Linked DNA regions of Ovis aries. The protein of the gene in region 3 interacts with the protein of the main gene of each other region in a biochemical or structural test. Links are inferred from orthologs where the notes say so. Each region holds a gene or a part of one and is shown on either strand. Other genes may lie near its edges.

The links. The genes of interacting proteins can lie anywhere in the genome.
Region 1: the proteins of FYN (region 3) and FYB1 form a complex in vitro, tested with the Homo sapiens proteins (2 studies listed by BioGRID and IntAct). The link is inferred for Ovis aries from reciprocal best matches to the Homo sapiens genes FYN and FYB1.
Region 2: of the proteins of FYN (region 3) and ENO1, one has a biochemical effect on the other in vitro, tested with the Homo sapiens proteins (2 studies listed by BioGRID). The link is inferred for Ovis aries from reciprocal best matches to the Homo sapiens genes FYN and ENO1.

Annotation. Positions count from the first base shown.
Region 1 is NC_056069.1:35,475,310-35,483,519, forward strand, and holds part of FYB1 (FYN-binding protein 1), read left to right. Parts: intron 1-1,334; coding exon 1,335-1,354; intron 1,355-1,795; coding exon 1,796-1,830; intron 1,831-2,806; coding exon 2,807-2,927; intron 2,928-5,758; coding exon 5,759-5,918; intron 5,919-6,417; coding exon 6,418-6,562; intron 6,563-8,210. UniProt on the Homo sapiens protein: Acts as an adapter protein of the FYN and LCP2 signaling cascades in T-cells. May play a role in linking T-cell signaling to remodeling of the actin cytoskeleton. Modulates the expression of IL2. Involved in platelet activation.
Region 2 is NC_056065.1:43,931,997-43,938,947, reverse strand, and holds the end of ENO1 (alpha-enolase), read right to left. Parts: intron 5,963-6,951; coding exon 5,765-5,962; intron 5,176-5,764; coding exon 4,974-5,175; intron 4,577-4,973; coding exon 4,468-4,576; intron 4,255-4,467; coding exon 4,196-4,254; intron 2,986-4,195; coding exon 2,916-2,985; 3' UTR 2,568-2,915; downstream 1-2,567. UniProt on the Homo sapiens protein: Glycolytic enzyme the catalyzes the conversion of 2-phosphoglycerate to phosphoenolpyruvate. In addition to glycolysis, involved in various processes such as growth control, hypoxia tolerance and allergic responses.
Region 3 is NC_056061.1:26,055,827-26,064,036, reverse strand, and holds part of FYN (tyrosine-protein kinase Fyn), read right to left. Parts: intron 7,489-8,210; coding exon 7,339-7,488; intron 4,769-7,338; coding exon 4,604-4,768; intron 4,226-4,603; coding exon of another isoform or gene 4,070-4,225; intron 1,371-4,069; coding exon 1,191-1,370; intron 1-1,190. UniProt on the Homo sapiens protein: Non-receptor tyrosine-protein kinase that plays a role in many biological processes including regulation of cell growth and survival, cell adhesion, integrin-mediated signaling, cytoskeletal remodeling, cell motility, immune response and axon guidance.

The DNA of each region.
Region 1 (8,210 bases), on a different chromosome or scaffold from region 3:
CTTCACTTTCACTTTTCACTTTCATGCATTAGAGAAAGAAACGGCAACCCATTCCAGTGTTCTGGCCTGGAGAATCCCAGAGATGGGGGAGCCTGATGGGCTGCCATCTATGGGGTTGCAGAGAGTCGGACACGACTGAAGCAACTTAGCAGCAGCAGCTTTTAGGAATTGCAAATATCTTCTCTCATTCTGTCCATTGTCTATTTAGTCCATACTGTCCTTCATTGAACATAAATATGTTTTGATATAATCGAATTTATTAATACTTACTTTGTAATTTGTACTTTTAAAGTTTTATGTAAGAATTCCTATCTTTAGGAAATAAAAATATTATCTTCTATTTTCTTCTATGAACTTTATCCTTTATAGTTAGGTCTTTGATTGTTTGCAGTCCACTTCTGAGGAATTAGTAGAAACCTAGATTTTTTTTCTCATGTACAAAATCAGTTTTCCCACTATGATACTGTGAAATTCACCCTTTTCTCATTAATTTATAATACCACATTTACTATATTAACTATTGGTGTGTTTGTGTGTTTTCATACATAGGTGTGTTTGTGTGTACATAATGTTCCTGGGTTTGACCTCTGGGTCAGGAAGATTCCCTGGAGAAGGAAATGGCAACCCACTCCAGTATTCTTTGCCTGGGAAATCTCACAGACAGAGGAGACTGACAGGCTACAGTCCCTGGGGTTGCAAAAGAGTCAGACAAGACTTAGGAACTAAACAACAACAAATGTGTGTTCCTATTTGTGTGTATGTAAATTTTATCTGTCTCTGAGCTCTCTGTTCTATTCTACTGGTCTCTTCATTCACGTATCAGTTCCACATGGTTTTTATTGTTATTGTTTTAGATGATGTCTTAATACCTGAAAATTTGTTGATATTATTAAACACTTGAGCAGTAAAATATCTTTTAAAAAACTAATTAACTTGATTTTTTTGATACATGAAAGCAAATCCTTGGGAACAAATGAGTCAAAAAGTGTGAACCTGTGATTTTCTGGTAAAGCCTGTGTTCCACACAAGCCCCAAAAAAACAAATGTGGATGTTTTCAGCGTCCATTTGTAAAGAGACTACTAAAGAGTGTCTTCAGTTTTTTTCACTTTTGCATTATTTTATGAAAGCTAATGAAATGATTTTACAACAAGTTACAAGGTTTGGAAAAGCCATAGTAAGGATCTAAACCACATATTCTATTCTCTACTTCTAAACCTTTGGTAAAGTATAGATTCTGTTAACATGAACTGTTTTGAGTATTATGTTATGTTACATCTAACAATCCTCTATTAAAGCACTTCTTAATTATTATCCCTTTTTTTAAACACTTCAGGTACTGGAAATCTAGATGAGGTTAGTTTCTCTTTTTTTATTCTTCTCATATTATGTTGCTATAACTAGAATATGTAACAATTGCTGTGATTTATTTTCTACTGGCATAAACCAACAAATGAAAACTCTTAAGAATAATGGTAATATTTTTCCATTGCAATCTTATTTCACCCGAAATGCTTGAGACATTAAACCCCAGTCATTTCACTGACTCAGTAATTTTGTTATGATAAACAGAAACTGAAGCCTGGCTACGAATCTGAATTACATAGCAAGATATAAAATGAAATCTTTCTGTGCTTCCTCTCCCAGTCTGTCTCCAAAAAGGAAAAAAAAAAATTAAATATGCAAAATGTACACACAAATTTATGTTTGTTTTACTGAGTATTTGAGCAGTGTAGTATATATTTGTTCCCTTATTGAATAATTGCAGTAAATCACTATTAATGTTTTTCTTGACAGGAACAAGAGAGTGAAGGAGAAACATATGAAGACATGTATGAGCAACATTTCTTTTACCATGATATTTTTCTTCTTAGATGAATATAATAATTTGTATGAGGGAGAATGAATGGATATTCAATACTAGGAGGGGGAAAGTTCAACTGTTCAAGTGACGGGCATATAATGATAACCTTTATTTCAATACAAAGGACTAAAGATTCCTTTCTTGTCTAAGGATTTTACAGAGGACTCTGTTAAAATGCCATTGTGTGAGAGGTCAGAGTCCTGCAACCCACTAGACAGCCCACAGGCAAGGAATTACAGGGCCAGGAATCTGTATTTCTTGCTCTCAGGGTGTCTGGGCAAATGAATTTGTGTATATATTACAATGTCCTCACCTAGGCAGTACTCTGAGAGACAATTTAACACAGCACCGGATGCCAAAGTTTTAACCTGCTTAAGAAGAAAAATGTTAAAAAGAGTTCCCAAATGGGTTTCTGGGCAGGCCAGGATTAAGAAATTTCTTAGCAAATGAGTGAAAATAAAAATGAGCATTTTCTCTCATTTTAACTTTTGTTGATTCAAATATGTTAATCTTCCCCACCCAGAATTCAGCTAATTCTGAGTAAAGTTTCTAAATGAAGATTTGTACCTATGAGTACAAGTGAATATGTATATGTGAACTTGTACCAGTGAGCGTACTCTTGTGAGAGAGATTGGGTGGGATGGGGGGGGGGAGGTGCTTAATTGTATTCATGCTGACAGGCTGCAGGAACCTTTAAAACAATGCCTTCCACTTGCCCTCAGGGGTTGTAAAAGTAGCAGGACCTTTGGAAGGCATCCTCCTTTGAATGCCTCCTGCAGGTTTTAGGAACAGTCTCACACACCCAGGAATTTTGACAGGACTTAGCTTTGTACCTTAACCTCTATTCCACATACTATCTTCTGTTTGGGGTAGGAACCTCTAAATAGTGAGCCCTAACACATAAATGCCTGCAGGTGCTGAAACAACCAAATTTTTATCCACAGAGACACATCCAAAGAAAAAGAGAAGAAAAGAGAAAAGGAGGAAAAGAAGAGATTAGAGCTGGAGAAAAAAGAACAGAAAGAGAGAGAAAAGAAAGAACAAGAAATAAAGAAGAAATTTAAAGTAAGAGCTTGCTTGCTGATGGGTGAAAAACAGTAACCTCTCTTTTTATAACTTTCACACAAAAGGGGCACCATTTTTTGAAACCTTATATGGTTGGACAACTACTTAATCACTGTTTTCTAAAGAGTAACTTCCTTCATAACAGTAATGTTTTTTTTCTGCTACACTCCATTATCCCTGCACTAAAAATGCAATACAATAAAATCCAAATAAAATATGTGGCTTATAATCTGGATAAAATCTAAACAAAATATGGTGGGAGCTCAAGAAATTTTATGTCAGTTGGGTGAATGAATACTCAGTTACTCAAATCCATTCTGACTCTCCTTGTTATGTGTTTCATCGTACCTGGAAAATTTCATGGACAGAGGACCCTGGTGGGCTACAGTCCGAGGGGTCACGAAGAGTCGGACAAGACTGAGCATTTCATACTAACCTACTTCCTTGGTGGCTCAGACGGTAAAGTGTCTGCCTGCAATGCGGGAGACCTGGGTTCGATCCCTGGGTCGGGAAGATCCCATGGAGAAGGAAATGGCGAGCCACTCCAGTACTCTTGCCTGGAAAATTCCATGAACTGAGGAGCCTGATAGGCTACAGTCCATGGGCTCGCAAAAAGTCGGACACGACTGAGCAACTAAGAGATTAAAGAATATGGGCTCAGGACTACACACATACATATCCCTGTGGCACGTATTATCATGGTGCATGGGACAGAACTGTCTGGATTAAGCAGACTCATGTCAATAAAACTCCGTGAGCCACCCTGACTGATGCTGTCTAGACCTGACTCACATCTATGCCTTTACTTTATGCCTATGTACATGCTGATTTCTCATACCTTCTGTTTCTCCTTCTTCCTCATTGACCTCTGTATTCTCTGATCTTTCATTCTAGCTGGATGACTCCTATCACCAGTTATCACCTCCTATCACTACTACCACCACCACCACTATACTTGCAGGCTATACTCTCTTGGCTAGGCTTTGACGACACGGCCCATCTGGTATGGGTCTGGTATGTCAGCTATATTTAGAGTGATTAGCTAGTCACAAAACTATTCTTCACTTTGAAAAGGATTCATATCAAGATTCCTTTAAATATTTAGTTCCTCCAGAGCATTAATATATGGTTTGAGTTATAAAAGCCTGGCTTATATATAATTTCCCAGTATATTGACTATAGTGAAACAAAGAAGCAACAGCAGGCACAGGGAAAATGTAAAACTTAGAGTCAGTTGGACAGATGTGGATTCAAATTCCAGCTGCATTTGTGAGTTATATAATAGTGGACATATTGCTAAACTTCTCTGAACCTCAGATTCTTATTTTTAAAGTGAGTAGACAATATTTCTCCTGAAAGTTTGTTATGGGATTAAATAAAATGATATGTGGTATCTATTATAGGCTCTCATTCAATTTTGCTTACTATATATAAGCAAAAGTAAGATTGCAATATGACTATTAAAATATTTTACTCATGCAGAATGTATGGCTACCAATGTTCATAGTTTTCAAGTAGAAAACATGGAAAATTAATTTCTTAAATGAAAATCTTTATAACATACTTTTTATGAAGAGGTTGTTTATAGTTTTGAAGGAATTAGTAAAGCTTTTCTTTTTGGGTGTAGGTTTTTTTTTTTTTTTTGGAGAAGCCAATTTTGGATGGTTTCACTCATTTATTCAAATAATATTTGTTAGTAAGAAAAAGATAAGATATGAAATCACACCACCAAACATGAACTCAAACATTTATCAAGACTAGGACTTCACACGCTATATTCCTTTCACAAAATTGTTAATAGATGTTCAAATTAAATAAATAAATGTGAGAACTGTTATACAGTTCCACATTTCATTAATTCTATGACAAAATATTTCACATTTTAAAATTCCAAAATTAGGATGCATTGTAACATTATTGGCACATCAAAGTTTAAATCAAGCTAGTTTACTTTCTTGGTAGTATATAATTAATGATGGTATCTCACAATTCATCATATCACAAGTTCAATAAATAAAGTAGAGCTTCTTCAAAAATCATGATGTATATTTGCATATCAAAAGACTCAAGAAATTCTGTTGAAAAGACAAAAGATTAGGAAATTAGGACTTTAGGATTCGTGGGCTCTAAACTAGATTACTCCTCTGCTGTCAAGAAACCACTGTACTCTTCAGGATATTAATTATTAAAACATCATATAATATTGGTTTGCTATTTATTTTTATTCACAAAGCTATTTCTAAACTGTTATCTTGTTTATAACAGGTAATGTCTACTCCAAGTTTATAGATAGCAAGTACCTTGAAGTCGAAAAAAAGGAAAGAAAATGTTTTTCTCACAAGTACAGCCTACCACCACTACTAACCCTCTCTCTCTTGCTATTTTAAGCCTGCAGAGAACCATCAGAATAATTGCACAAAGCAGAGAGGGAAATAACCTCTGTCTAGTAAGCAGAACACCAGCATACCCCATAAAAACACATAGCACCCAGCATGTCACATATATAAGTGGTGTTTGATTTTTAGTCACTTCCTCTTCAAATCTTCTACAGAGTTCCCAACGTTAACAGATCACTGCCATTCTCTCCTGGCCCCTGAACACGTGCTTACCTATTTTTGCTGGCTCTGTCTGACCTCTGCAATTTTCCCCTAGCCCCTCCTATAAGAACCCTCACCAGAAATAACATTCACCCTCAACTTCTGGTTCAAACCTATAAATGTTGGTAATAAGCAGGTTAGCAAGTAGTGGACCTAGTCTTTCAAAACTGCATTCCTTAAGGATTTCCTGAAAGTAAGAAGCTGGTTGTGATTTTTTTTTCCCCCTCTTTGCAGCTAACAGGCCCTATTCAAGTCATCCATCAAGCAAAAGCTTGCTGTGATGTCAAAGGAGGAAAGAATGAACTGAGCTTCAAGCAAGGAGAGAATATTGAAATAATTCGCATCACAGACAACCCTGAAGGAAAATGGCTGGGCAGAACAGCCAGGGGGTCATGTAAGTGCATATTTTTCTAAGACTTCAAAGTGTTTTCTTTTGAGCCAATCTTAATGTGAAAATTCTTCCAAAGCTAGTCATAAGCATTAAGTTGGAAGTATGTTACAGAGTAGACAAAAATAGGAAGATTTTAAATGACAAGCATAGCTCCATCTTCACCTCATTTGTGTAATATTTTTAGTTGGGAAAAAATGCAAATATAATATCCCAAGGAGGAGTAAAGAGTATTAGATTCTTCATGGATGTTAAAAAGCAAAAATATTTCTTCTGAATCACTTTAGAACCTTGAAAACAGACTCCAGACTTACCCCAAAAGCACAACATCATGAGACTTTGACAAAGCACAGTGAAGCATGTGTCAACAAGTCTTTAAGTCAGAATTGCAAGCAAAGAAATAAAGGGAAAATGTAAAAAGAAAGTGTATCATTGATATTTTATTTACAACTCTATGATATTTAAACTACAGTTATCTGAACATAAATTGTTCCCCTTTTGGTAGATGGCTATATTAAAACAACAGCTGTAGAGATTGACTATGACTCCTTGAAACGGAAAAAAGGCTGTCTCAGCACTCTTCCATCAAGACCTTTTGAAGATGACCAGGAAGTGTATGATGACGTTGCAGAGCAAGAAAATGTTGGCAGGTATACGTAAAAATAAATCGGAAAGCAAATCAAACTATCTGTTTGTCAGAGATTGTGAGTTTTAAGATGCTAGAATTTTACTTTCCTAATTTCCTACTACTTTCTATCACTAAATTAAATTACCGTTTACAATCACTTCAATATGGATGATAACTCCTTTGAAACTCTATAGTCTTTCAGTTTACTCTTTGGCTATTTGTGTTAAATACTGCTTGAAATGTAATGGGCCATTGGCAGATATGGTGTCCATCCAAAATACTGTTTTGCAATATTCATTCTGATTTGACTTTAAGGATATGCCTAGAATACATATGACTTTGTAAATTATGAAGCATGAGATATAAAAGTTAGCTCTAAAAATATAAAATACTTTTCTCTGAAATCTGAGTCTAAATGTATTTGTCATTGTTATTTGAAAATATAACAAACAGAAATGCTTTTTTATGACAACTTTGCTCTTTAAGAGTAAAGATCAATCCGCTATGATCCCCAGCAATCAACTAAGGGTTCAACTTTCCATTGGACCTTGTGACCTTCCCTGGAAAAACTACAGGACCATCTTTCTGGAGCAGAGGGACAGATCAAGACATCCTTTCTAGAGGAATCAAAGGGGAGGGCAAACTTCTCTCTCGTACTTTCCTTCTCTTCCTTCTCATCTCCAGCTCCCTTTATAGCGCTTCCTCTTCTGTCCCTTTCTCCTAGCTCTGATCTTCCTTGTTCTTTCTTTTTCTTCCTTTTCTGTTCTCCTTTCATTCCTTCTTTCCTCCAATATCTCCCTTTCCTGGTAGAGCCATAATCTCTTTAAACTGAAGGAAAAGGAGAAGGAAAATCTCCAACCCAGTGAAGAATCCTCATTTTTCTATGCCCACTTTGTGAAACAGGGAAACCTCCCCACATGATCCATGCAAGATCTTCATGTGAGAAAAAAATGTGTCTGCATTCTTTATAACTCAAATTTCAAATTAAAAAATGTTTTTATTATTAAGCATTCTAAAAATGTAAAAAGATCAAAATAGAAGTATATTAATATTTATTAATACTAATAGTTATGAAACATATAAAGAATTAAATTTCCCTTTTATGGTTTTGAGCTTATGGCATCAGTTAAACCTATATTGCTTTCTGGCAGTTCATCATTCTAAAATGACTGATAGCAATGCTGTCTTAACATATTGTGATCATAAATTATGCAATACATATCAAAACATCCCATGTATGCACTGGAGTTTACAGATTGTAAATTGACCTTAGCGATAAGAAACACCTTGACCTACCTTGAAGTTAGCAAATGTCAAATTTGATATCAGAGTTCCAAATGGCCATATTCTGAGAGTTACAGAATTTTCTGGGCATGAGTGTGTCTTACCATGTATATTATCAGTATATATACCTTATGTTGGGCTTCCCCGGTGGCTCAGATGGCAGTCTGCCTGAGATCCCCTGGAGAAGGAAACGGCAACCCACTCCAGTATTCTTGCCTGGAAAATCCCATGGATGGAGGAGCCCAGCATGCTATATTCCATGGGGTTGCAAAGAGTTGGACACAACTGAACTACTTCACTATACCTTATGTTTGTCTTTTATCTTAAAAAAAAAACACACACACACACACAATTTCTCTTATTTTGGAATTAAAGAACTCCACTTC
Region 2 (6,951 bases), on a different chromosome or scaffold from region 3:
CCCTGTCCATTACCAACTCCCGGAGTCTACTCAAACTCATGTCTGTTGAGTTCATGATCTGAGCCACAGTCAGCTCCTGGTCTTTTTTTGCTGACTGTATAGAGCTTCTCTATCTTTGGCTGCAAAGAATATAATCAACCTGATTTCCGTATTGACCATCTGGTGATGTCCATGTGTAGAGTCTTCTCTTATGTTGTTGGAAGAGGTTAGGGTTAGGGTTATAGTCCATGGAATTCTCCAGGCCAGAGTACTGGAGTGCGTAGCCTTTCCCTTCTCCAGGGGATCTTCCCAACCCAGGGATCGAACCTGGGTCTCTCACATTACACTCAGTTGAGTGCACCATGGAAGCCACCAGGAAGACACCAGGGAATTGAACTGGGGTCTCCTGCATTGCAGGCAGATTCTTTACCAGCTGAGCTACCAGGAAAACCCAGGGAGACTCTAAGGTATGGCCAACTAAAGTTTGCAAACTACACTGCTTCAAATTTTCAGTTGAGTTTTGTCACAGGAATCCGAAGCTGGAAGACAATCACAGGTGAAAAACCAATGTTTGTATTATGAGGTTAACTTTAAAAAAGAAAACACATAACACAAGTCCAGAGACTACTAACAAGAGCTACCAGAGATGTTTACTTCAAAAACACTTGGAAACTTTCAATCAGCGCTGCTCGTCCTGCTTCAGTCAGAATGCCCAGGAAAAGGCTAATGGTTTCTATTGCTTCAGTGTCAGCAACGTGCTGTTTCTGCTGGGTGAAAAGCTGTCAACCGTCCCCAGGGGCTCAGCATTCCCAGGGCCAGTGAGACCCCAGCAGCCTTCCTTCTGGGTGGAACAGATCTGAAAGGGCTCCTATCTATTCTTTAACCTGAGTGACAAATACCTTTAATTGCTGATCAGGAAATAGCGGGCTTTCCTGATGGCTCCTGAAATGCAGGAGACACAGGCGATTCAGGTTCGATTGGTGGGTCAGGAAGAGCCCCTGGAGGAGGAAATGGCAACCCACTTCTGTATTCTTGCCTGGGAAATTCCATGGACAGAGGAGCCTGGCAGGCTTCAACTTAAAGACAGAGTCAGGCACAACTGAGCGACTAAGCATAGGAAATGTTGACATGCAACCAAATTTAGCAATCTGTTTGGATGAACAAAGTCCAGTCAGACTGTCAGGCCCAGTTCAATCACTTCCTTGTAGAATCAGTTTTCAGATGGGAACCAGTCATACAAAGCTGGGATAGGTTAGCAGTTTTGGCTGTACACAGGAGGGCTGAACCACATTAGGTGAAGTAGGGTCTTGTTATCTGGAGATGAAGGATGGCTTCAGACATTTGTGTGTGGTTGCCAAGTTCACATAAGATAGGAGTCCTGCTATTCAAATATTAATCTAGGTATTACTGTGAAGCTATTCTGCAGATGTAATTCAAACCACTGTTGACGCTGAACAAGGAATTTTCTTGGATGATCTGGGTGGGCCTGAATCAGGTGAAAGTTCTTAAAGCAGGGATTACACTAGAGAGGAGTTTCACCTGAACACGTGTTTTCCCGATCACACTCCCTTCTGATTGGCCAGACTATGGACTCTCTCAGTATGCCCCTCAATCATAGGAGCCAATTCCTTGCAATCAATCTCAATATTGAGGCTACAGTCCAGGGGTCACAGAGTCAGACACGACTGAGTGACTAACACTGTCTTCTAGTCCTGCTTCTTGGGTTAGAGAGATGGGCAATGAACAAGAATGTCCACAAGGGGGCCTCTCTGGGTTCAGTTCAGTCACTTGGTCGTTCAACTCTGCCACCCCATGGACTGCAGCATGCCAGGCCTCCCTGTCCATCACCAACTCCCAGTTTACTCCGATGATCCCCTTCTCCTCCAGCCTTCAATTTTCCCCAGCATCAGGGTCTTCAATGAGTCAGTTCTTTGTATCAGGTGGCCAAAGTATTGGAGTTTCAGCTTCAGGATCAGTCCTTCCAATGAATATTCAGGACTGATTTCCTTTAGGATGGACTGGTTGGCTCTCCTTGCAACGCAAGAGGCTCTCAGCGGGTTTTAAAACACAATTCAAGGGATTTGTATCAAGTCAGGGGAAGTAAATAAAACATTAGTAGAACACCAGAAATCAAGGGGCAGAGGACAGAGAAGCCACAGTATTTTCACCTCTTACTGGTGCTCATCCATTACTCCAGACAGTACTCAAGGCAGTGGGTATCAGCAACATGAAGCCTCTGAACACTTGAGATCAGGCAGATGAAAATAAGGAATGAATCAAATCTTAACTTATTTAGCTGCCCTTGAGGTACCCTGTGAGAGCTCTGCATTTTTCTCTCCCGAACAAGTTTGGTCCTGAAGTGGGGCCCTGCCTCCTGGCACCGACCCAGCTTCTGCTGTAGGGCATGGGTTGACCCCTCTCTCACCTTTTCCCCAACATGCTCTCCCCAAAGTCTTATACAATGTCCTCCACAAACTCCTGTTCCTTCTATCAGACACAAAGCCTCTGGTTCTTGTAGAGGTGCTTCCTGAATACCCAAGATGTGAGAACAGACTCAGACACTACTTCATATACACAGGGCATATATATACGGGTCACTCAGGTGTTTTTATTTTGCACACGAACCCACTGGACACCTCAGAGATGACAACCTAGATACACGTGGCTCTGGATACTTGGTGGAAGCGAGGTGAGAAGAACAATGATTTGGGCCAAGTATGTGATTACAGAGCTAGGGTTTCCAGCAGGGCTCCAGATGGTCAGGCGTGGCTCTGCAGTAGGTCTAAGGAAGCAGTGGGGACGTCACAGGACGAGGAGAGAGCAGCTAACTACCAGAGGCCCCTGTGGGCATCAGTGGGGGCCTCACACTGCCCGGCGACATCAGACGCAGGTCTAAGGAGCCAACGAGTGACTGCAGGGGCTCGCCCGCCTACAGCTTACTTGGCCAGCGGGTTTCTGAAGCTCCTGCCGGCAAACTTGGCCTTGCTGCCCAGTTCCTCTTCAATTCTTAGGAAACAGAAAGAGAGATAGGGAGACAAAGAAAGACATCAAACGTCAATGCAGCAAATCTTCCCACCCAGAGAGGTGGTCAAGGACACACTTCTTGCTAGGAACTTGGGGACTCAACCCTCGCTCAGTCTGCCCGACTAATCCCTAAACTTGAGCTTCTTGGAGATGCCAGGAATAGAACATCTGGGCTCGCCTCATGCACCTGTTCTTCCTGCCCTGCCTTCCTAATATAAAGAAATGGTAGGACTGTGACTTCTTAGAATACTTAAAAAAGAGAAAAAAAAATTTTTTTTAAAGAAAGGATAACCCAGTTTCTTGAACTAATAAGTGGTACAGGGCAAAAAGGCAGGGGCACTCATCAGTGTGAACTTTGTTTGGATCCTGATGTCAAAAGCAACAGCCACTTTGCGACGAGAGAGGAGACAGACTAGCAGACAGACCTGATGTTGACACTGAGAGGTCAGCACTAACCGTGGGAACCGCCAGAGTAGAGCGGCCACGCTAAACCAAAGGGAGACTTTACCTGAAATGTGCCAAGTGAAACCATAAAACGCCTGGGGTTGCTTTAAGATTCGTCAGAAAAGGGTATGTCGACAAAACACGGAGGAATACGGACAGCGGGTGCATGCCTGTGATGGGGAGGGAGTACAGTCTACTCTTCACTTATATTTTATATGTTTGGCATTTTCCAGGATAAAGTTTTAAAGATGGGGTAATGTGGGAGGCCTTATGAAACAGATGTTCCTTTTCCCTTCAAGAATGAAAGAAAAGAACAGAAGGGCAGGTCTCCCTGTGTTTAGAGGCAAAGCTTCCCAAGGACAAGAAGGGGAGAGACGAGAGTGTCCGAAGGAGCTGAACACTGGAAACCCCGCTGTTCGCCCTTTGGCAATTTTTCTTTCTCTCTCTGAGCTCTGTTATCCTGTTCACAAAACAAGGCTGTGAAGTGAGAGAATCACTAAGGCCTCCTTGTAGCCCCCTCAAATTCTAGGATGTGACTGTCCAGAGGGGAGTGGTTCCCTCTCCCGCCAGGAGCCACCCGGCAGTGTGGTGCGGAGCAGGCCCGCTCCAGGGCAGGGCTGTCGGGTGCCTGACTGGCCCCAACCTAACACCGCTGGGGCCAGGGCGCCTGCCCCACCTCGTACCGCCGAGCACAGCCTGGGGCTCCTTCTGGGGACCAAGCCCATACTCAGCGCGGGCAGCCTCTTACCTGAGGATCTGGTTGTACTTGGCCAAGCGCTCAGATCGGCACGGGGCACCAGTCTTGATCTGGAAGGAGAAAACAAAGGCCACAGCTGCTTACAGTGGACAATGAAGCCTCTCGGACACTTTGGGCAAGGGGAGGGTGCCAGGCAGAGAGATAGCAAGGCCTTAAGGAGGCTCTCTGACCTAGAAAGGGGGGACTCCATTCTCTCCACCCCACCCCAGATCTGTGTTCCGGAGAGAAGCAAGGCCTGTCCTTCGTGTCAGGGAGCTCCTTACCTGCCCCGTGCACAGCCCCACGACCAGGTCAGCAATGAAGGTGTCCTCAGTCTCCCCGGAGCGATGTGACACCATGACGCCCCACCCGTTGGACTGGGCCAGCTTGCACCTAGGAGCCAGAGAAACCAGGCTGGCACGGCTCCGCGGCTCAGGGACCGCAGCCCCTCCCAAGCCCTCAACTGCTGGGGCCAGGATAACCTTCCACCTCCCCCAAAGGCCCAAGGATGTTCTCTGCCCTGTAGTCACGTTTGGAAACCTAGTGGGCTTAGCCCCCCCTCGAGAGAGAGGTGTGTGTGTGCGCCCTGACTTTCTCCGTGTGAGATGAAATTGTGAGCGCACGGCCATCCAGCGGTCAGGACCAGGCCACAACTGCCGAGTGTCCTTGTCCCCTGGGGGCCATCGCTAACTTTAAACGCCACCTGGAGTTCCAATCAGGAGCCCCCTCCCCACCATCAGATTCAGGCCCCTCTCTTCACAAGAGCTGCCCCCGGAGGGAGGGCACTCACGCCTGCAGGGACTCGGTCACGGAGCCGATCTGGTTCACTTTGAGCAGGAGGCAGTTGCAGGATTTCTCGCTCACGGCCTTGGCGATCCGCTTGGGGTTGGTCACCGTGAGGTCGTCCCCCACCACCTGGATCCCCGCGCTGGCAGTGAACTTCTGCCAAGCTTCCCAGTCATCCTGGTCGAAGGGGTCCTCGATAGACACCACTGAGGAGAGGAGAGTGTGTTTCATCAGGGTGGCCTCCCAGGCTGCTGACTGGCAACACCGCTGGAGCCCCCCTTCCCCCGAACTGAGGCTCACCTGGCCTCACCCTTCTCACCTGCAGACAGCCCGTCCCTAAAGCAAGTTCTGGAAGGAGTCTGCCCTACCCAGCCCTCCTGTGACAGGCAGCACGGTAACTGCAATCCTGCAACCCCATGGTCGTGGAGGCAGAAAACCCACTGCCCAGCGGGTTCTCAGTTTAGTGCCACTGAGTAAGAACAGGGCTGTGGACCCAGAGGGGCGATACTGGGGTGTGCGTTCCAGTCCCATTTCCACCAAGGTGCTCAGTGTTAAACACAGGCACTCAGAGGAACTGCCTGGTGTGAACACCTGTGCCGCTGTTGGCTGAGCGCCCCTGAGAAGTTCTAACCCACTCGCTGCCTCAGGGTCCCCTCTCCCACGTGCAGGAGTGCCCAGCAGTCTTGGCCTCACATCTGCTCATTCAGGAGGCTGTTGTGGGAGTGACACAGGCATGCACACCACGCAGGGGCGCTACCCGCCGCTCACACCCGCAGCCACCCTGGGAACACTCACCTGGGTAGTCCCTGATGAAGGACTTGTACAGGTCGGCCAGCTCGTCAGGTGTGATGTACCTGTTGGGGTCATCGGGCGACTTGAAGTCCAGGTCATACTTGCCCGACCTGTAGAACTCAGAGGCAGCTACGTCCATGCCAATGACGACCTTGTCGCTGTAGCCAGCCTTGCCGATGGCATTCTTCAGCAGCTCCAGGGCTGGAAAGAGATGGTGGTGACGGCTTTGGAGACCAGGCCAGCTCTGCCCAGTGGGAACCGTAACACAGGGAGGATAAGGTGCTCTGGCCCCAACCACCAGTCTCAAGATTCCAGGAACTTTTTTATGTTCTGGGGCAAGAAACCTTTGCTTAAGGCCACGAGTGCTTGGCCAAGTTGGAAATTGACTCTCAGAGGCTTTTTCACTGACAAATGCTCCCAAATTTAGCACCAAAGAACAGCTGTGCTGGCCAAGATACAGTTACAGTGACCAGCTGAGATCAGCTGTTCCGAAGAATGGGCTTTAAATAGAGCCAAGACAGAGAATAAGATGGTTAGACAGCATCACCGACTAAATGGACATGAATCTGAGCAAACTCCAGGAGAGGGTGAAGAACGTTCGGAACCCTGGCATGCTGTAGTCCATGGGATCAGAAAGAGTCAAGACACGATTTAAGTGACTGAACGACAAGGCTGCGATCCAAAAGGGAGCCCAGTGGACTGACAGGGAGCCCCACGCTGAGGCTCTGCTGTCCGGGTCCAGGCTCAGGGTCGGCCTCACTCAGAAGCACTGCCTGTAGGGATACGGACCAAGACACTGGCTACTGTTGCACAGCAAAGGCGCCCGAATTCAAACCACATGAGATGGCTGAGTTTTCATAAGTTAAAACAGTCGAATGTCAGCTACTGTGTATGATGGACCCAAAGGTCAGGATGGACATTTCCTTTCACTAACCATCCCTGAAGCCCATGAAATATGCTTGCAACCCTAACTTTTTCTTCTAAAACAAAAAATTTAGCCATGAATTCTTCTCCTAAGACTTCTGTATCCTCTCTTCAACTCTCAATCTAAGGATTCAAAGTGAAACAAAGCATGTACGGCATTACTGCGGCTGAATGACCTGAAACCTCAGCATGCCAGTATCCTTAAACAGGGAGCAGGCCGCACACTTTTGCCATCGCTTAGGAGCAAGGATGGTATAAGCAAATCA
Region 3 (8,210 bases):
GCAGAGGCTGGAGGTTCATGTGATCACTGGTATTTTTTTTTCATGCTTTAATCACAAAGTTATTTACCAAATAAACAAATACAAAGGACAAACAATCTGCCAGGGAATAATTCCAAATATATTTTAATAGAAAGTACGTGGAAAGGGAAAAATTGTACTGGTGTCATCTGATGTACAATGCTTTGCCTTTTAAGGCTGTTTCTTGTTTGGTTCATCTATTTTTCCAAAACAAAGTGATCTGTGGTCTTATCCCCAACAATATTGCTTTGATTAGAAAGACAAAGAGAGAGAGAAAAAGAATGAGAATATAATGTGCTCTTTAAAAGTATGTCTTTCTACATCAGATGTTTAAGAAGAGAGCCGAAGAAAAAAAAAAGGTGTTGAAAAGATGGAGGCTAAACTTAACCCAGAGCTCAGTGTCTGATGTTAATTGTTCAGCCTTGCAAAAATATCTAATTTAAAAAAAATTTGTAAGAAAGTAATTTATTATTAAGATGGTTAAGCTGTGTATGCCACAAAACCTTTCATAACACAATTTCTTACTTTTATGCTTTTGTACACAAAAAGGCATTTTCAAACAAAATTTTACTGCAAAACAAGTTTTGAACCGATGTGATTAAAAAAACCTCACCCTTGATGAGGGTTTCCAACACGGTCAAGGTTGTGGTATCTTGAGTGGGGGACTCAAGACAGACAAAGGTGGTGGGAATGAGGCAGGAGAGATGAATACCTGAAAACTGTATAGCCTCATATCTTTGTTTGAAAAAAAAATTAATTTTTAACATAAGCTGTGCCATTCCAGATAACAGCAAACTTTTATAGCCCTCTGTATCAATGGCAACCCACTCCAGTATTCTTGCCTGGAAAAGCCCATGGGGTTGCAAAGAGTCAGACACGACGACACATGTATGCACTGATCACTCCGATACTAAAAATGAATTACTTCAGTTATGGAGAGGAGCTGGAAATCCTGACATGTGCAAAGCATGCAAAGGAATCTGGGTGTCAAACTCAAGGTCACTGTCTGTTCGTACAACGTTTTCCCCAGTGAGTACATAGTTTGTGCTTCCTGACAAAGAATGCTTGACTCATGGAGGAAGGAGGGAAAAAGCAGGCAGGGAGCTCCATTCCCCTCCCGGAGACAAGCTTGCAGGTCCCTGCGAGGGGGAGCCCGAGAGGCCCAGTCCAACCTTTATTCATGTACTCGGTGACGATGTAGATGGGCTCTTCGGACACCACGGCGTATAGCTGGACCAGTTTGTCATGCTTCAACTTCTTCATGATCTGCGCCTCCTCAAGGAATGATTCAGGGGACATTGTGCCTGGTTTAAGAGTCTTTATGGCTACTTTTGTGTTTCCATTCCAGGTACCTGCAGACACCCCATAATAGTAAGTCAAACCAAAGATCCTCTTTGGATGGGAAAAAAACCTTTTTAATGAGTAGTTATTTGTATAAAGTTAGATTTTAAGTTTAAAGAAAACTTTAAATAGAGTTGTTGTTGTTGAACAAAGACAATCAAATGCAAGGACTCTGTCAAGTATTTTCAACAGGAAAAAATGTGTTTACTTATAGGCTATGTCATGGTTTACAAGTCTTTAAAAATTTTTCGTATTTTGATATATATCACTTTCCTTTTCTGGTTCAGCCACGTGATCACAAATTTGTATCAAAAGCTCTGGATACTTCATTTTTTTCCTTCTAGTAGTTTTTGAGATATGATTGATATATGCCACTGTATCAGTTTAAGTTGTAAAGCATAATGATTTAATTTACATACATCATGGAGTGACTATTACAGTTAAGTTTAGTGAAATCCATCATCTCAGATAGATACAAACTTAAATACAAATAAATTTTTTTCTTGTGATGAGAATTCTTGGGATTTATCCCCTAAACAATCTTCATAGATAATATACAGGATGTTAATTATATTTACTTAGCATGTAGTACATTAGATCACTGGTACTTTCTGGATACTTCTTTATAAGGATGAACGTCTAGGGGTTAGAACAGGACTGGCCTTCAGCGGCCATCCAATAGCCGTCCCTTAGACAGGAGGATGAGCATGGAAGAAAGGACATTAAGTCCTATTTTCTGGGGTGTGCCATTTAAAAATATATGACACCACACTAAGGAAGTTTGGAAATTACCTCTAGACTTTCAGTTGTCAGCCAGGGATGAGCTACTTGACTGAGTCCTTGAGAAGCTGAGCTAAACGTGCTGAGAAGTACTGGCAAGAAGCTTTTGGTCTACTTGCCAATACTTCAATCACGAAAAGAAAATTCCTCAAGCTTACTGATGGTCAGCCACAGGAACAATGATTTCTATTAGACTGGAAAAATTAAACAGCAGCTAAGAGGGAAAAGAAATATTTAAAACTTCACATGTGTAAAATAATCTAGGAGTTTCAGAGGCGAGCCTGGTTTATGATCCTCATCATTTACCTCATCTGTAAAATATAGAAATGGAACTGGATTATCTTCCCAGTCTCTTTTAGCACCAAAATTTAAAAAAACCCACTCAATCCTATGTGTATCCATTATTAGTCCTATGACTTTGAATTAAAACTATAAGGTAAACTGAAAAATCTACTAAGTTAGATTATATCATTTTCTATTTGGAAAAGAAGGCTGGTTTAAATTAACTTTACACTTAATATAATTAATCCTAGAACTAAAAGATTCTATAAATTGGAACAAGTCTTGTCACCCTGTTAAAAACATGGTTCATATACTCACAACATGCAACCCATAAAAATGTAAATTATCAAAGGATAAGTGCCTTAAAAAAGAGTTCATTGAAATCTTATAGAAAACTGACCACTAAACATAAATGGGAAATCTGACAACTAGCAAGTGGTCTGTGTGAGTGTTTTAGCATCCCTGAAATTTTAACAGTGAGATCATCCTGTCTAATATCACCTGGTTACCTAGATAACCTTCCATCCTGATCCTGAACTACGTCAACATGATGTTTCACATCCAGGGGAAAACATAACAGCATGTGTGATGATTTAAAACTGGTAACTATAATGTTTGAAAATAAATTTTTGTACAGAGTTTAATTTTTCCTGATTTCGTGAATGACTGTATTGAAATCCTTAGGACTCACAAATCTAATTATAAATTGGGTGGATAAGGGAGTGTAAGGCCATATAAATACAACACGAGAGTTAGAGTCCAGATAGAGACAGACACGATAAGTCGACTCGGAAAGCGATTCTATTAATAATGATAATACTTACTATAATGGCATATACATACTCATCCACGTGTATATCTGAGGGAGGGTGTCTCTCTCTCCCTCTCCCTATATGTAGTACTTACTAGTTGTCAAGTCCCATTCTAAGTGCTTTAACTGCATTGAACCTTTTAATGCAGATCACACCTAAGTACCTACACCCACACAAATCACATAGGTACCAACCTATGCTTTTGCTTTTAAGTAATGTTGCTTTCAATTGCATCTAGGAAAGTAAGAAGCGGGATTCCATAAGCAGCAGCATGGCCTTATTGACAGATGTTTCTGGGTGTTTTAAAGCAGTAGGGAAGGCCAGAGAAGTTGGCCTGGCCAAAGAGAACCAAATTAAGAGACAAGAACTCGTGTCTACTGAGTACCTGCTGTTTGCCGTGGAGATATACTATGCCATATCACCCTCAAGGTAATCCTATGAAGTAGGTATTATTTCAGTTTTACAGATGAGGTAACTGAGGTTCAAAGAGATGAAACAAGCCCCATGCCCATGGTTAATCAGCTGGAAAAGATTCAAATCCAGGCTACTGAGGAAAAAAGCCCATGGTCTTTTCCTACATTAGCCCATCTGTAGAATCTTACCTTCCCACGTCTTAGGAAGAGGAAACATCATTCTTACTGTACTGGTTTTCTGTTCTGTGTGCCTTAATTAACCACATGAAGCAGGATGGAAGGGAATAACCTGAATGGCCTGTAGCCATCTAGCCATCCAGGTCAAGCATCTTGGTCCCACCAGCTGTGTGTGTGTGTTTGCTTAAAATCGCCTTTTAGCTGGCTTTGAGATGCAGCCAAAACGAAATGTGCCCTCTGCCTTACCAAGCCACACTTCAGCGAAACACCCCTGACCCAGCTTCTTCTCCAGATTCAGGGAATCACGTGCAACTTCCCAAGCATCTTTAGACAATCCAGAAGTTTGTGGGGTACAACTCGATGCAATCACAGTTAAGTTAAAACACAAACCATCAGCTTTCTCTACAGGAAAGGGAATTAATAAAGAAAACACAGTCCTTATAATCCATAATCATGCATGCACTAGAAAAGATGGGAGGTGACGGGCCCTTTAGGGCGACACTGTTCATTCTGCCAGCATTTGCAGTTGGAAATGAAGGCATTTGGTGCAAGCTAGAATATTCCTTGTACCATTTCCTGGTGTATGAATTGAGGCTCATATAGTAGTATCATTTGAGCCATCTGCCAATCTTAACCAGAATTCTGAAATCAAAATCCAAATTATTCGTAATTCATACTCTCTTCCTGGCCAAAAAGTCTTTATTTTCACCTTCCATCTTTGATGTTTGGGACTTCCCCAAACGAGAAAGCTAGTAATAGAGTAATTGAGGCTTGGCATACCCATCCATACTTCCCCAAACTGCCCATTTCCCAGTCTCTTGATCAACTGCAGGGATTCTCGAGGGATTTCCCAGACATCTTTGGTTTTGACAGACAGATCGGTAAGCCGTGGCATCCCTTTGTGACAGGGAACTACTAGGCGGCAACAGAGGCCTGCGGCTCTCTCTGATGGAGCGAGGACAGCGGCGGGAGAGGAAGAGAAAAGCAAACACGTGAAACAACACTTACAGGGGCACAAACCCAGCCAGCGCACAGTGTTACTCAGAACAGTGCTGTGTCAGCAGAGAACTACACACGTGTTGGAAGATTAGACACCACACACTGAAATGTGCTCGCTGGAGGCAGAACAGAAGACGTTTTGGATTTCGATGACTGCGTACACCCAGGTCTAGTATAGTCTATACACAGATACAGGTTCAGGCTGCTTTGGTGTCTGCGCTTACGAAATAAGAAAAATGTTTTCAGCCCAGCGTGCTAATAACATGTCTTCTGAAACTCTGCAGATAACCTCGACTGATTTCAAAAGGTACATTTGAACCACAGAACGTCAGCACAACTGTCTTTTGCTGCTGTCTCATATCAAGGGCGTGGGGACTCTCTTTGCTATGAATATACTTAAAATTGTAGCTTCGGTACAGGGTTCTCATACAGAATGTCAGACTATTATAAACTAGTAAGGCTGGAGATTACACCTGGCGAGGGAAAAAAGAGGTCCTATTTCTCTAGTGATTTCTCTGACAATTTGAACTGACTCTATTCTGCCAGTCAGCTACTCTTGCTTCTTTGAAATCTTCCATTAAAAAAAAAATCTTTATAACAGTCTCCGATGTATAATTTAGGAGTCTGGCTTGAAAGGAGAAAGAATGGGAACTAAAATTTGCAGAAACTCAAGGATGTGAGAGAACTCTATTTCCTATGAAAAAGAGGAAGGAAAAAAGTCATTATCACTTATAGGTTATTTGGAGGATTTTCCCCTTTTCTTCTCTCTCTCTTTAAAGTCTTTTAGACTGCAGCAGTGCTAAGGGGAAACTGTCTAAATGCCAAGCTAAACATTGGTCAGGTGAGAACGCTGACAATGGACAGGGACTCAGGCAGTGACGAAAGCTGCAGAGAGCCTGGCCTGAGCTGGCCACGCCCCAACGGAGGCCCCTCTGCTCCAGGGACACAGAATGCAGTGCTGCCGCCTTTGCTCCGGGAACCAGCTGCAAGTTCCTTTTTATTCCTTTCTTTTTGACAGAATCAGGTTCTCAGACATTTAGGCAGGAAATTATTTATGTGTCAATATTTCAAAGGCATTTGATTGTGTGAGGGAGAGAAAGAGGCAAGGGGAGAAGCCAATATAAAAACAAATCTGTCTCGAGATGGATTTTTTTTTTTTTGAGATTAAAAAGTGTCTATTGCTCCTCACATCCCTTCTCTCCTTCCAGCTTTATGATGTTATTAAGGTGCCCTTTCCAACACAATATTTTCAAACGATCCAAGCCCTGGGGATCCAGCTGACGTCTGGCTGTAATGAAATATATTTAGGCATTTGAGAGATCCTTACCACATGCGGGTATTTTGAGCACGTCCTTTAATCTCAGGGAGATATTTTGCTTCATTTCTCCTAAGTATTTCATTAGAATCCACACCAATGAAAGTGACCCCCTCCCCTAATCAACAAGCTTGGCAAGTGTTGTTAATGTTTTTTCATTTGCTTTTTAGTGCCCAGGATCAATAGACAGATATTTCTTAGTGCCATTTTCAAGAAACTGCCTTTTTTGGTGCTAAACAATTATACACACATATTTTTAAATGAATGAGCATAGGGCAATAGTGGAAGTCAAGCCATGTAGTATTTTGGAGTCTTGTCATTATCCTAAAGAATAACAAAAAATGTACATATGGGTCACATAAAAACTATTGGGTTATAGACCTCTATCTGGACATGCATATGTCTATCCACTGGTGTGTATATATTGATATAGTGGGGCTGACTTGCTAATCTAGGAAAGAAAGCAATCATTTTAACAACTGCATGTACAATCACCCTCTTTAATAAAATGTACAAATCACACACCTAAACACCTAATAATTATATGTTTCTAGGAACAACAGACTGATGGTGATGTCTGGGTGTTAGGACAGAGATTGATCTACTACTTAAAAGTTTAATTTAATACAATAGCTGTAACATCTCTAGGAGCTGTGGGTCATATACATCTAAGTCTAGTTAGTGAACGGAAGCATTGGTGGGCAAGTAGAAATGAGAAATGGATGGCGAAAGTCATCTAGTGTATGCGTGCGCAGCCCTTCCTGCTGAGAGGGAAGTGATGGTAGGAACACCCCCCACCCCTCTAGAAGGCCCCATGGATGGAGTTCCCCCAGAGACAGCACCTTCTTCCTTTCACAGCTTCCAAACTATATATACTGCAGGGGAGCAGGAAGCGATAACTTCCAAGGATTTAAAGACGAAGACGAAAAAACAAACAGCTTTTAGAATTTAACCTATTGCTTTCTAGTTGGGGAACGAGAATGGTCTGTATTTTGACAAACATATGGAACTAACAATAACTGCGAAGGTAAAAATAGTGAGAACCTATTCGGCCAAGCCTCATCTTGAGAGCCTAGCAAGGAAGACTATTTTCCTAGTGCCTTTCGATATATTTGCTGTACCACTTTCCCTTTTCCCACTCTTTCTTCACTCCCTCCCTCCAGCATCCAAATGGTTAGTAGCCAGTTAGAATTCACCTTACCTGAGTAATGTTGTACAAGCTGCTGAAGGGTTTCAAATTGGGCCCGGGTGGTAATATAGTATCCACCGTTGTCAAGTTTTCGAATTTTATAATGTTTGACATGGTCTCCTTTCATATCATCCCAGTCACGGATAGAAAGTGAATAGGCACCTGGGAGACGTGCAAAGCATCAGCAGCTCCAATCATTTTGAATGCCAATTTCTTTTTGGGGGACTCATTTACTTAAGAGTATTCTGATTGATAATTATTAAGAGGAGACATACACACCACACACACACATCCATTCAGCAACATAGGAAGAAAATAATTTTTTCCTGCTAATGTCAGAAGACATTAGTAATAAAATGATTCTACCGTTGAGAATGAAAGCTCCCTGGATTTTTTTTTTCTATGAGAAGTCTATTCAGTATACTTGTACTGGTGAACTCGGCGTAGACCCAGCTCCCCCAGGGCAAGATAAAGGAAGCACAGATGCTCACGGCCGAGACTGCTGTCCTAGTCTGGGTTATCCACGGAGCATCACCAAGTCAGGGGTGGTGTGTACTGAAAGAAATCTAAGGGCTGTTTCTCTAGAACGGAGCTTCCAATTCTTGCTTCACAACACTTTTCACAGGAGCAGATAACCAGTAGTCTGGTTGTTCAAGCTAGAAGGCCACTGCTGTTTCCTTGGCCTAGCTCCTCTAATGAGTTGTTAAATAATGAGAAGCAAATGGAGGAAGAGAAGTCCTCGATTGTGGGAAAAAAAGAAATGAACAAAACAAAACAAAACAAAACAACCTGTGTGATGGGCGCCTGAGGAACTAAGAGTTTCAGAAAATCCTAATTCTAAAGGACTTCTGAACGTCCTGTGATCCTGTGTGCCTGGAGGGGAG